3 linked regions of the Macaca fascicularis genome follow. The protein of the gene in region 2 purifies or fractionates together with the protein of the main gene of each other region. This does not show direct contact. Links are inferred from orthologs where the notes say so. Each region holds a gene or a part of one and is shown on either strand. Other genes may lie near its edges. The genes, in order: EPB41L3, NUMA1 and EZH2.

Region 1 (3,661 bases), on a different chromosome or scaffold from region 2:
CGGGAGGCCGAGGCAAGAGAATTGCTTGAACCCACCAGGAGTCAGAGGTTGCAGTGAGCCGAGACTGCACCATTGCACTCCAGCCTGGGCGACACAGTGGGACTCCATCTCAAAAAAAAAAAAAAAAAAGTCCCTCTCTTCATTATATATAGTCAAATTCTCACAGAAAGAAAACATTTATTCCTCAGTCTACTCTTGGAGTTCTACTTTACTGCAGAGGACATGAATTCTAGTTTGTGAATTTTAGGGAAAGCACTAACTTAAAAGATGAATGCACATCATACAACATGGAAGAAAATACTTTTACAGTATTTTACAGAAAACACTTTTTACAGCAAGTTCCTGCCACACTTAATCTAATATACCATGTAAGTCCAGAAAAGATTCACAAGTAACAGCAACACATCTCTCAGTGCATGGATAGTGGCATCTCTTCTACCTAGGTGGCCCCTTAATGCATCTGACCAACCAGTTCTTAAAAAACAATTATAAATAAAATTGCATCCGATCAAGTTTAAAAATATCCTGATCTTTTTATTTCAACACAAAGTTGGCCAAAGTCCAAGCACTGTATAAGAATTGATGAAAAATTGCTTTTAACCTAAATCACATTCAAGCAGAAGAAATGTCTTAAAAATTAAATGTAAATATCTCACTGAGACACTGACATTTGATCTATAGCTCCCAAATCCTTCACCTAAAAGGGGTTTACAAATTAAAGTGGCTACTCTTCTTGTTATGGATGAATTATTCACAAAACATGATCTGTTTTGAAAAACTTATTTTGGCTAAAGTGTATTAACTAAATAAACTTGATGCAGTGTTGTGCATCTAATAGTTTACTTTTCTAAACTACCAGAAAACCATAATGCAAATGAGATAGTATTAAGCATTCAGCTATCAATGCCTTGCAAATTAACAAATTGAAGTCACGCTTCTCCAATTTAGTATTTATTCCCTCTCACATTAATTTTGTTACTCCAACTAAAGTTTTTAAAGTTTGATACCAAAATTAACATGCATTTTTTAAACACTCTCTCTGAGCCAAGACAGAAATCACCTCTCAGTCCCCAGAGTTCACTGGAGCTTGATGTGCTGCTCTCTTTTCTTAATAGGGCTTTTCTGCTTAATTTGCTGTAATTGGGACTACGTCCATGGCTCACAGACATCAAGTGGAATTTTACCATTTTTGTTTCCTTGAGACTTTAAAAATCAGGGTGAATTTCAAAAATAATGTTTTTAAGCACTTCGTGTGACGCTTCCTGTACTACAGAAGTTAATGCTATCAAAAGAAACTCCAGCACACCTGGCCACCTCAGAGAGCTTAAAATTCCCATTGCAACCCCCGCCCCCCAACAAAAAGGACAGGCAGGATATCTGCAAAAGCAATTCCGCAAGACTAATGTAAAAAAGCTGAAACAACTTAAACACGCAATGGAAGCACTGCATTAGCAGGACTGCCGGGCCCTCGCAGGACCTCCCAGCCCAACCTCCACAAGTAATTAATACCACATGTTTCCTTTATCATTCTATTTGTTCTGTTCCGCAATAATCTCTACCAACTTTAACCCTGGGCTGCAACTAAAGGAAAAACCCTAGGAAACTTCAGATCCGTAATATAGAAAGAAAATTGAGAAGAATACTCTCATTGCAAGGGACCACAGTTACAATTTACTAGGTAACCACACCCACCGCATTGCAGAAGCCATGAACTTCGCGGGCGTGGGGGGGGTGGGGGAGAAGGGGAAGAAGTCGGGCGAGATTAGAGGCGAAACCCGAAAAAGCAAGCCCCTGCGGCAGCAACCAGGAAACACCCGCCAGGAACTGGCTGACACCCCAGCTCCAGCGGTCCGAAGCCCCAGCCTCCCCACCCCCACCGCTGCAGAGCCGCCTTCGCAGACACCTCCCAAGGCGAATCGCAGCCCGGAGGGCGCCAGGTGAGTCGCGCCGCCCCAAGCCCCCGGGCCACGACAGGCCGACCCAGGCGCCCCCGGCCCGCCCCCGGGTGCCAGAGGCGAGGGGCCCCTGCAGGTGCCCAGGCCCAGGGCAACCCCGCTTGGACGCTCCCTCCTCCTCCCCCACCGGCCGGGGGCCGCTGCCCCAGTTCGGGGAACGAGGCAAGTTATATAAAAGCGGCCGGCCCCGCTGCCCAGCGGGGATGCTTTGTGCGGAGCGCACCTTACCGGCCCCGCGCCGCGCCCGCCCGCGCCTGCACCCGGGACGAGCCCGCAGCCGCCGCGCACTGAGCGCACGGCCCCTCCCGCGGCCCGCCAGCCGCCAGCCGCCACCCGCCCGGGCGGCGCCGCAGTGTCGCCCCCTGTCCCTCGCACCTCCCCGGGGGAGGGGCCGGCCCGCGCTCGCCCCCAGTCCGAGGGGCAACTTAAAACATGGCGCCCCGGGCGGGGGATTTGCGAAAATTGGCGGAGAAGGGACGCGGGGACCGAGTTGCCCCATCGGCCAGGGATCCCAGGGAGGCCCCCAGGCCGGAGGCCGGGACTCAGGCTCTGCGCGCCGGCCCAGCCACTGCTGCAGCGCGGCGGGTGGAGCGGGCGGGGGGCGCGGCGCACAGGCTCGGCCCGCCGAGGGTCCCGGCGAGCGGGAGGGCGGTTGGGGACCCCAGGCGCGGGGCTCGGGATTCGGGAGACCGCGCGGCGCCGGAGCCACGCGTCAGCCCCACAGCCCGTGCGCCTCGCCCCAGGCCTCGGGCTCTTCCTCCGCACCTCGTAAAGCCGAGACCCCCTCGCAGTCCCCCACTCCGGGAGGCGGAAAAGTTACCTGGGATCAGCGGATAGCCCAGGCGCGCCGCGGCGTGGGGACCAGGCTCGGGCGCGCGTCCTCGGCGGCGGTGCGCAGGAGACTCGGGCGTGGGGAGGAAGCCGCAGCCCAGGGCTGCTCGCCGCGGCTCCCCCCGCCCCCTGTTGCAGGAGACACCGAGGCTCCGCGGAGCTGCGGCGGGGGCCCACGCCCAGAGACCGCGCAAGGAAAGCCAACCTCGTCCTGCCTGCCCTCCCAGCCGCGGGGGAGGGGGCCAGCGCAGTACTTCAGGACAGTTACATGGGCACAACCTCCTCCTTCCTGGCGCAGGGTCAGGCTCCGCGGACGACGCCTGGAGACAGCTGCCAATGCCAATAGCTTTAGCCCTTGATTTCCACTTAGATGATGGCCTGGCCTCTCCAGCCCCCTCTCCCCTCCCAGACATCCCCTGTGAGAAAGGAGGGAGGGGGTGTTCCTGACCTTCAGGTGAGTTATTTATTGGCTAGGGACTGCAGTATTTTTTTTTTTTCTTTTTGGAAAGAAAATAAAAATCAAGTTGGTGGTGTTTTGAAGTCATGTTAATAGAGAAGATCTGAATTAATGGTTGATAAGAGAAGTCGCCCATCTTTCAGCAACTCAGCTACTCCGTCCTCTCCAGTACCTATAAAGCTTTCCACTGAAATGGAGCGGAGGGGGCTCCCTGATTTGTAAGTGAAATAAGTAACTCCTGGTCGTCTCACAATATCTTAAGATCTGACCGAGTAACTAAGACATTTAAGAAATGTTTTTATGGGCACAAAAAGAATAGAGTGAATAAGACATAGTATTTAATAGCACAACAGGGTGACTATAGTCAAAATAATTTGCACATTTTAAAATAAAGTATAATTGAATTGTAACACAAAGG
Region 2 (3,644 bases):
GTACGAGGCAGCTTGCTATGGAAAGGAAACCTGCTGAGGTACAGTCTTTTGGGCTAGAAGGCATTTTGTCCAGCCCTTTTCCAAAGTGACCATTTTCCATACTATAAGCAGATGAGGTCAAGCAACCCATGTCTCTGAATTTTCAGAGGTACCAAGGAAAGCCCTTGACCTGGGCCTTCCCTTCAGTCCACTCCCCTGGCTTCTCCTAATACCTCCTCATAGTGGCAATGCCCAGACCCAGATGTCCCATCCTCACCAGATGCCCACGGCTGCTCCACAGCAAACACGTCCCAATCTAAGCCCACTTCTCTGTTCTTCCTCCTTCATCTCCCATTTCAGTGAATACGAGCACCTGCCACTCAGGCCCCCAAACCATGAACATGGGCATAATTCTATGTTGTCCTGCTTGGGAAGCCCAATCACCAAGCTTCCTCAACAGCTCTCCTAACCATACCCTCTCCATGCTTATGTCCTTTTCCTGGTTTGTCTCATCTCCTCTCACCTAGACTCATCATGGCACTCACAGAGGCAGATGAGTGGTGACAAGCAAGGACTCAGGCCAGGCTGCACAGGGTCAAACCCCAGCTCTACCACTGGGGGACCTTGGGCAAATGACTACCCCTCTATGCCCCAGATTCATCTGTTAAAGGAGACAGAATAAACCTACCTCAGAGGGTTGTTGGGGGATAAATCAGGTATAATTGTTATGAGTGCTTTATGTCTAGCACAAAATAAGTACAATGTAAGTGTTTAATAAAAACAATATGTATTTCCAGTCTTAACTTCTATATTGGCTATTAGAATCATCTTTTTAAGATGGAAATTAACCATGTACTCTTCAGTTTCAAATTCTTCCAAGGTTCCTTTTTTTTTTTTCCCTTAAACCTTTCAATTATAGCCACCAAGGTTTCCTCAATGCCTTTAGGATCAAGTCTTAATAGCCGGTCTCCAACGGGGAGTCCAGATGGCCCTCTAGGATCTTGGGCCTTCCTGGCCTTGCATCTCAGCCTAGTCAGGCTCTTTCACAGCCTCTGTTCACACTGCTCTTCTCTGTCAACCTGGCACACACACCTATGGATGCTTTCAAGACTCAGCAGGAGCGATAGCTTCCATGAAGCCTTTCTTGACCGCTTGCTTTTTATTCCAACTGTGCCCTAAACAGACATCTGGTATAATACCTGTTTTTCTTTATTCTTCTCTAAGAATAAATTTGGATCACATCTTATTTATCTCACCAGGATACAGCCTGATAAACAGCGGGTACTCCATAAACAACAGACATAGGGAGGAAGAGTGCCTCCTGACCTAGTGATACTGAGTGGGGTCCCCTCCTCGCAGCTCAGATCCAGGCTGTCAATACTCAAGTCCAGCTGGGGCTTAGCCTGGGGCTCACGGCTCTTTAAAGCATCAGTTGCCACCTGGAATTTGCCCAGGTCTCGAAGCTGCTGGTCTGCGTGGGCAACCTGAGAAGGAGAGGGCCAGGGGGAGAGTGAAGAAAAACCTAAGGCATCAGTGGCCTAGGAGGAGAGGGCACAGGGGTCCAGTGGGATAGGGGTGAGGTGAGTCTGCCAGCCAAATTCTTACCTGTGCCTCCAGGCTGCGCACCTGGGCAGTAAGGTGGCGGCATGTCTGTTCAGCCTCCTTGGTCTTCAGCCCAGCCTGCTGTAGCTCATGGCCCAGCCGTTCGGCTTCAGCTCGCAGCTCTTTGTTTTCCTTCTGCAGGTGCTCCAGGCTCTGCAGCTGCTCCTGCAGCTCTTGGTTCTGCTGCTTCTTGGCATCATAATGAGTTTTGGCTTTCTCCATCTGTGGGCAGAGAGGATGGGTGGGTGGGGCAGAGGCTGGAGGGCAGGAAGAAGGTAGCATGGGCTGGGGCTGGGCTCCTTACCTGCAGCTTATAGTGCTCAGCTGCCTGCTCCTTCTGGCTCAACTGGGCTTGCAGTTCATTCAGCCGGGCCTGGAGGCGCTGGGCCTCCTGCTGGCTCTCACCGCCCTGAGCCTGGACAGCCTGAGAAGAAAGTCCACTCAGGAAAGCTGGTCTGGCCCCTCTACCCAAGTCCACTCATCTGCATCAGCCACTGGGGCTCAAGAGGTGCTTCAGACTCCTGCACTTAGGAAGAGGAAGAAAACCACACCACCCCAGATACACTCCACCCGACTACAGCCTACTGAACCTGAAGTCCACATGCCCTTCAGTCCACATCCATAGTGGCCTTTCCCTGACCAGCTCCTGCCCTATCTTTGCCTTCTTTGAGATAGGACACAAACTGTCTCACCCTCTTTGCATGCACACACAATCTCCCCTAGGAGGAAGGGAACCGATCCTCGAGGAACACCCAGGTGCGGAGCCTGGAGTGAGGCACTTGGCATGTGAGCTCTCTGAGGACAGGGGAACTTGTTTCTCCTCAAAGCCACTCTGAGAAGTCACTTCATCCCCTTTTCAGAGGAGGAAACTGAGTTCAAAGATTTAAGCAAATTGACCATAGCAACAATGACTAAATGGCAGAGTAAGACTTGGTCCACTAAACTCCAAAAGCCCGTGGGGGCTTATTTATGATGCCCACACTGCCTCCTGTCCAGACTATAACTCCTTAAGAACAGGGCCTGATTCTCTGTCCATCTGCAAGGCCAGCAAGTACTCTGCGGTAGATACTGTACAGAAACATCCCACCTTTGCCTCTCCTAACACAGGACAGGCCCCACAAGGAGCAGAATAAACATTTGTTTATTGCAATCAAGACATGCTGTGGCACCATGGTATGAAATGAAGCTCTGAGCTCCCACCAACTCCTAGGACCCACCAGGGCTTTAGTGAGTCCCAATACCACTGATGTCCAATTCCTTTGCCCCTGACTAAAGGCTGTGCAGCCTAGAACTGCAGAAAGCAAGTATTAAACCAAAGAAGGTGACACAGTTGGAATCATTAAGAATGTTATTAAACTGCATTGTAATATTCAACACTGGTGACACTCGTTCTTTCCCTGCCCAGACTATCTGGACTTACATGGTTCAACAGAACTTTATGCAACGGTGGAAAGTTCTGTATCTGTGCTGTCCAATGCAGCAGCCACTAACCACATGTAGCTACTGAGCAGGGACACAATGTAGCTAGTGTGATTGAAGAACTGGATTTACTTTAATAAATTTCAATAACCACACATGACTAGTAGCTGCTGTAGTGGAGACAGTTGAGAGATGGGAACCACCCTGGTTGTCTCTTGAGAGCTCCCAGAAGACACACGCAGGGGCTTCTAAGCCACAGGCTTCCTAGGAGGGCTGCCTGGAACACAGGGTGCCCCTCCTCTGCCCCCACACCCCCACGGCCCGAGAGCTTAGAGAACAGCTTTCCTCCCCTGTCCAGAGGCCAGACCCGTTCCCCCAGCTGCCCCACCTTCAGCTTCTGCTGCTGCACTTTGCTGGCTTGGTCAGAGTCAGCCAGTTTCTTCCTCAGTTCTTCCACCTGGGGAGGGAAGAGGAGGACAGAAGACTCAGGAGGACTTCCCCTGGATGTTCATCCCAGATGTCTACCCATCATGGGGTGGCCCAGACCAGGATCCCCAGTATTCCTAGAATAAACTCAGGCCCTTTCTCTGGCCTCCAATTAGGGAACAGCCTGCTGCCCAGGCTGCTTGGCAGGGCCTGAGTGA
Region 3 (3,744 bases), on a different chromosome or scaffold from region 2:
CTCTTAAAAAATGTCGTTTTACTATTTAATATTATAGGACTGATAAGTTCAGTAATTTGATAAGCAACTTAGGGATAAGTAGTTAATTTCTGAGGTTTAAGTTGCTGGTTTTAAAAAATTGCAAACTGCTGGCCTAGATAGATGCATTTTATCTTGGAAAATGAATGTATTGGTGACTGTAAGTAATGACAGCTATAATTCGTTACGTTATTTTACAGTCACATCTCAGTTGCATAACTTACTTTTTGCAGTCTTATCATTGATTCACAAGATAATTTTGCTTTTATCTGAGCACATGATTGCTTGTTTCTCCTTATCTTTTAGCTTCCCTTCATATATACTTTCCAACATTGGCGTGGTTCAGAATATATGTGAGGAATGGAATGGTGATTTAGGAAAGGCGGGAAAATTATGGGCTAAATCACCTGATGAAAAATTATGGCCCGGCGCGGTGGCTCACGCCTGTAATCCCAGCACTTTGGGAGGCTGAGACGCGTGGATCACAAGGTCAGGAAATCGAGACCACCCTGGCTAACATGGTGAAACCCCGTCTCTACTAAAAACACAAAAAATTAGCCGGGCGTGGTGGCGGGCACCTGTGGTCCCAGCTACCCTGGGAGGCTGAGGCAGAATGGTGTGAACCCGGGAGGCGGAACTTGCAGTGAGCCGAGATGGCGCTGCTGCACTCCAGCCTGGGCGACAGTGTGAGACCATCTCAAAAAAAAAAAAAAAAAAAAGAAAAATAAAAATTAAAATTCTAGCTAGTTATTAAAATCATTAAAAAGATTTCTTCAGATTTTTACCCCAACATCATAGGTGGCCTTTTTTCAGTGTCCAGTCTGAACTATCAATATGGAATCTCAGTTTACAGGACAATGGTATTTTACCCCATAGGTACATCCTAGTAAAAATAAATTCGGGATACTCTTAACTGCATTGTCACATGAAGCAATAGGAGAGATTGTATCCTAAGCAGAAGCCCCCTAATTCCTGAGTTGAGGCAGGTTGACCCCCCCATAACTAAGATCATTGTTTAATCACTAAAAAATATTGCAAATATCCTTACACTTTGCAGAGGCGGCAAGTGAACAGCGCTCATCTTAATAAACGATTTTTAACACTGACACTTGCTTGGCACTACAAACACTGGAAGGGTCTGAAATGGCAGTAATGTCACCCTTTCACAGGTTTCTAGGGCGATAAGCACTGCGAGCTCAGCCAAAGTCCAGCGGTGGAGGCGGGGGGCGGGGGGCGGGGCGGGAAGTGGCCGAGGCAGCAGCAGGCAACATCAACGGGACCCGGGCCGGGCGCTGTGGCTCACGCCTGTAATCCCAGCACTTCGGGAGGCCGAGGCGGGCGGATCACCTGCAGTCGGGAGTTCGAGACCAGCCTGACCAACACGGAGAAACCCCGTCTCTACTAAAAATACAAAATTGCCGGGCGTAGTGGCGCATGCTTGTAATCCCCGCTACCCGGGAGGCTGAGGCAGGAGAATCTCTTGAACACGGAAGGCGGAGGTGGCGGTGAGTTGAGATCGCGCCATTGCACTCCAGCCTGGGCAACAAGAGCGAAACTCCGTCTCAGAGGGAAAAAAAAAAAAAGAAGTAACGGGGCCGGCGGCAGCGCGCGGGCCGGGCGAGCGTCTCCCCGCAAAGGCCGCGCCGCAGCAGAGCCGACCTCCGGGGCCCGTGCCCTCCCCTCCCTGGGCACCGCCAGGAGAGGCCAGCTCGGGCCTCGGCACCGCGCGCGGGGAAACGAGCGCGGCGGTTAAAACCGTTACCACCCCCGAGTTTTGAACTGGTTCAAACTTGGCTTCCAGTCCCCGCCTCGCCCCTCCCCTCCCCTCCCCTCCCCCGCCCGGGAACTCCGCGGCGCCGGTTCCCGCCAAGAGCAGCCGGCGCGTCGTCCCGCCCTTCGGCCCGTTCCCGCCACCCATCCTCCCCGCCTCCCGTTCGCGGTGGGCTCCGGGCCCCCGCGATGTCTCCCGGTCCCCGCCTGCCTGCACACCGCCTTCCTGAGAGGCGCCGTGTGTTCAGCGAAAGAACAAAGAGACGGCGGCAGCGCTTCCACAAGGCCAGTCGCGTCGCTTCAAGCGAGCCCCGCCACCGCCCGCGCGCGCACGCGCCACCACCGCCCGCCCGCGAGCCCTGAGCGCACTCTGCGTGGGGCTGGCTCGGCGCCTCCGAGCCCGGCGGGCCCTGTGATTGGACGGGCGCCCGCCTAGCGTCCCGCCAATCGGGGCGGTGCTTGATTGGGTTGGGGGGGCCAAATAAAAGCGATGGCGATTGGACTGCCGCGTTTGGCGCTCGGTCCGGTCGCGTCCGACACCCGGTGGGACACAGAAGGCAGTGGAGCCCCGGCGGCGGCGGCGGCGGCGGCGGCGCGCGGGGGCGACGCGCGGGAACAGCGCGAGCCGGCGCGCGGGACGAAGGTAACGCGCCGCTGCGGGCGGCCCGGCCGGTGGGGCTCCAGGAGTGCGAAGCGGGCGGCGGCGGCGGCGGCAGGACCTCCCCGCCGCTGCTGTGCCGGTCCCGGGTATCGCCTAAACGGGGCTCACCCGGGCGCCGCGTTTGTAGGCGTGCGGGGGGTGGAGGGTGAGGGGAGACCCCCCTCCCCGGAAGGAGCTGTGAGCTTAGGGCTGGCCAGCGGGAGCCTACGAGTGGGGCAGCGCGGACCCCCGGAGCTGCGGGGCGGGGGGCGTGTGGGGGGCAGCTTTCCCGGTGCCTGCCCTGGCCGGGGCGCCGGGGCCGGGGTCGGGGCGTTCCGGTGCCCGGTCCAGGGTGGCAGCTCGAGCCTCAAGTCTCCTTTGTGTGGCGCGGCCGCGGCGGGAGCGCCCGGGTGGGACGGGACAGACACAAGTTGGTGGGACCCAGCCGCCGAGTCTGCACTCAGACAAAGGACGGACTGTGTCTCCGGAGGTCTCGGCGCGAGGGGAAGGGGCATGACACCCGGGCCCGCCGGCGGGCGGGAGAGGGGCGTGGGGAGGCGCGGGCCGCTGCCGGGGTGGGCAGGGCTCGGCCCCAGCCCCGCGCACGCCCCCATCCCGGGCGCGCTGACCCCGGGCTGGGGCCGCGGCGACCGCGGGACGACGTTCGCGGCGTGGAACTCGGAGTAGCTTCGCCTCTGACGTTTCCCCAGGACGCACCCCGAAATCCCCCTGAGCTCCGGCGGTCGCGGGCTGCCTCGCCGCCTGGTCTGGCTTTATGCTAAGTTTGAGGGAAGAGTCGAGCTGTTCTGCTCTCTATTGATTGTGTTTTTGGAGGGCTTCCTGTTGAATTCCCACTTCATTGTGTACATCCCCTTCCACTGCCCCCAAAAATCTGTGCCACAGGGTTACTTTTTGAAAGCGGGAGGAATCGAGAAGCACGATCTTTTGGAAAACTTGGTGAACGCCTAGTGAGTTCCCACTTTCTAAAGAATCGTAATCCTTAAACATTACAAGCTGTTTTGGCCAACTTGTGTGATACATCTGAGAATGGCGACAGGTGCTAACGAAATCAACTGTCATTCAGCCAGAGATTATTTCCCAAATCCCGACGGGTTGAATGAGGATGAGGTGGTAGAAGTAGGTGATCAAAATAGAATGGCTATGACAAATGTGTGTTTAGATTCTATGGTTAGCAGTTTCTTAGTAATTGGTCTCGTTTTCTGTGAACAATAGCTTTGGTGATTCAGAAAAGACTGGATGCAGAAATGTTTGTTGCCTAAGAAATTTAACGTGTGCTGTCCACAGTTAAACTTCCT

Evidence for each region.
Region 1: the proteins of NUMA1 (region 2) and EPB41L3 purify together in Homo sapiens (affinity purification with mass spectrometry; 3 studies listed by BioGRID and IntAct, with this or other methods). This does not show direct contact. The link is inferred for Macaca fascicularis from reciprocal best matches to the Homo sapiens genes NUMA1 and EPB41L3.
Region 3: the proteins of NUMA1 (region 2) and EZH2 purify together in Homo sapiens (affinity purification with mass spectrometry; 3 studies listed by BioGRID and IntAct, with this or other methods). This does not show direct contact. The link is inferred for Macaca fascicularis from reciprocal best matches to the Homo sapiens genes NUMA1 and EZH2.

What each region holds. Positions count from the first base shown.
Region 1 is NC_088392.1:74,037,388-74,041,048, forward strand, and holds the start of EPB41L3 (band 4.1-like protein 3), read right to left. Parts: upstream 2,861-3,661; 5' UTR 2,776-2,860; intron 2,287-2,775; exon of another isoform or gene 2,184-2,286; intron 1-2,183. UniProt on the Homo sapiens protein: Tumor suppressor that inhibits cell proliferation and promotes apoptosis. Modulates the activity of protein arginine N-methyltransferases, including PRMT3 and PRMT5.
Region 2 is NC_088388.1:70,766,692-70,770,335, forward strand, and holds part of NUMA1 (nuclear mitotic apparatus protein 1), read right to left. Parts: intron 3,458-3,644; coding exon 3,389-3,457; intron 2,006-3,388; coding exon 1,886-2,005; intron 1,804-1,885; coding exon 1,585-1,803; intron 1,464-1,584; coding exon 1,306-1,463; intron 16-1,305; coding exon 1-15. UniProt on the Homo sapiens protein: Microtubule (MT)-binding protein that plays a role in the formation and maintenance of the spindle poles and the alignement and the segregation of chromosomes during mitotic cell division.
Region 3 is NC_088377.1:190,537,194-190,540,937, reverse strand, and holds the start of EZH2 (histone-lysine N-methyltransferase EZH2), read left to right. Parts: upstream 1-1,246; 5' UTR 1,247-1,452; coding exon 1,453-1,523; intron 1,524-1,999; exon of another isoform or gene 2,000-2,132; intron 2,133-2,295; exon of another isoform or gene 2,296-2,431; intron 2,432-3,744. UniProt on the Homo sapiens protein: Polycomb group (PcG) protein. Catalytic subunit of the PRC2/EED-EZH2 complex, which methylates 'Lys-9' (H3K9me) and 'Lys-27' (H3K27me) of histone H3, leading to transcriptional repression of the affected target gene.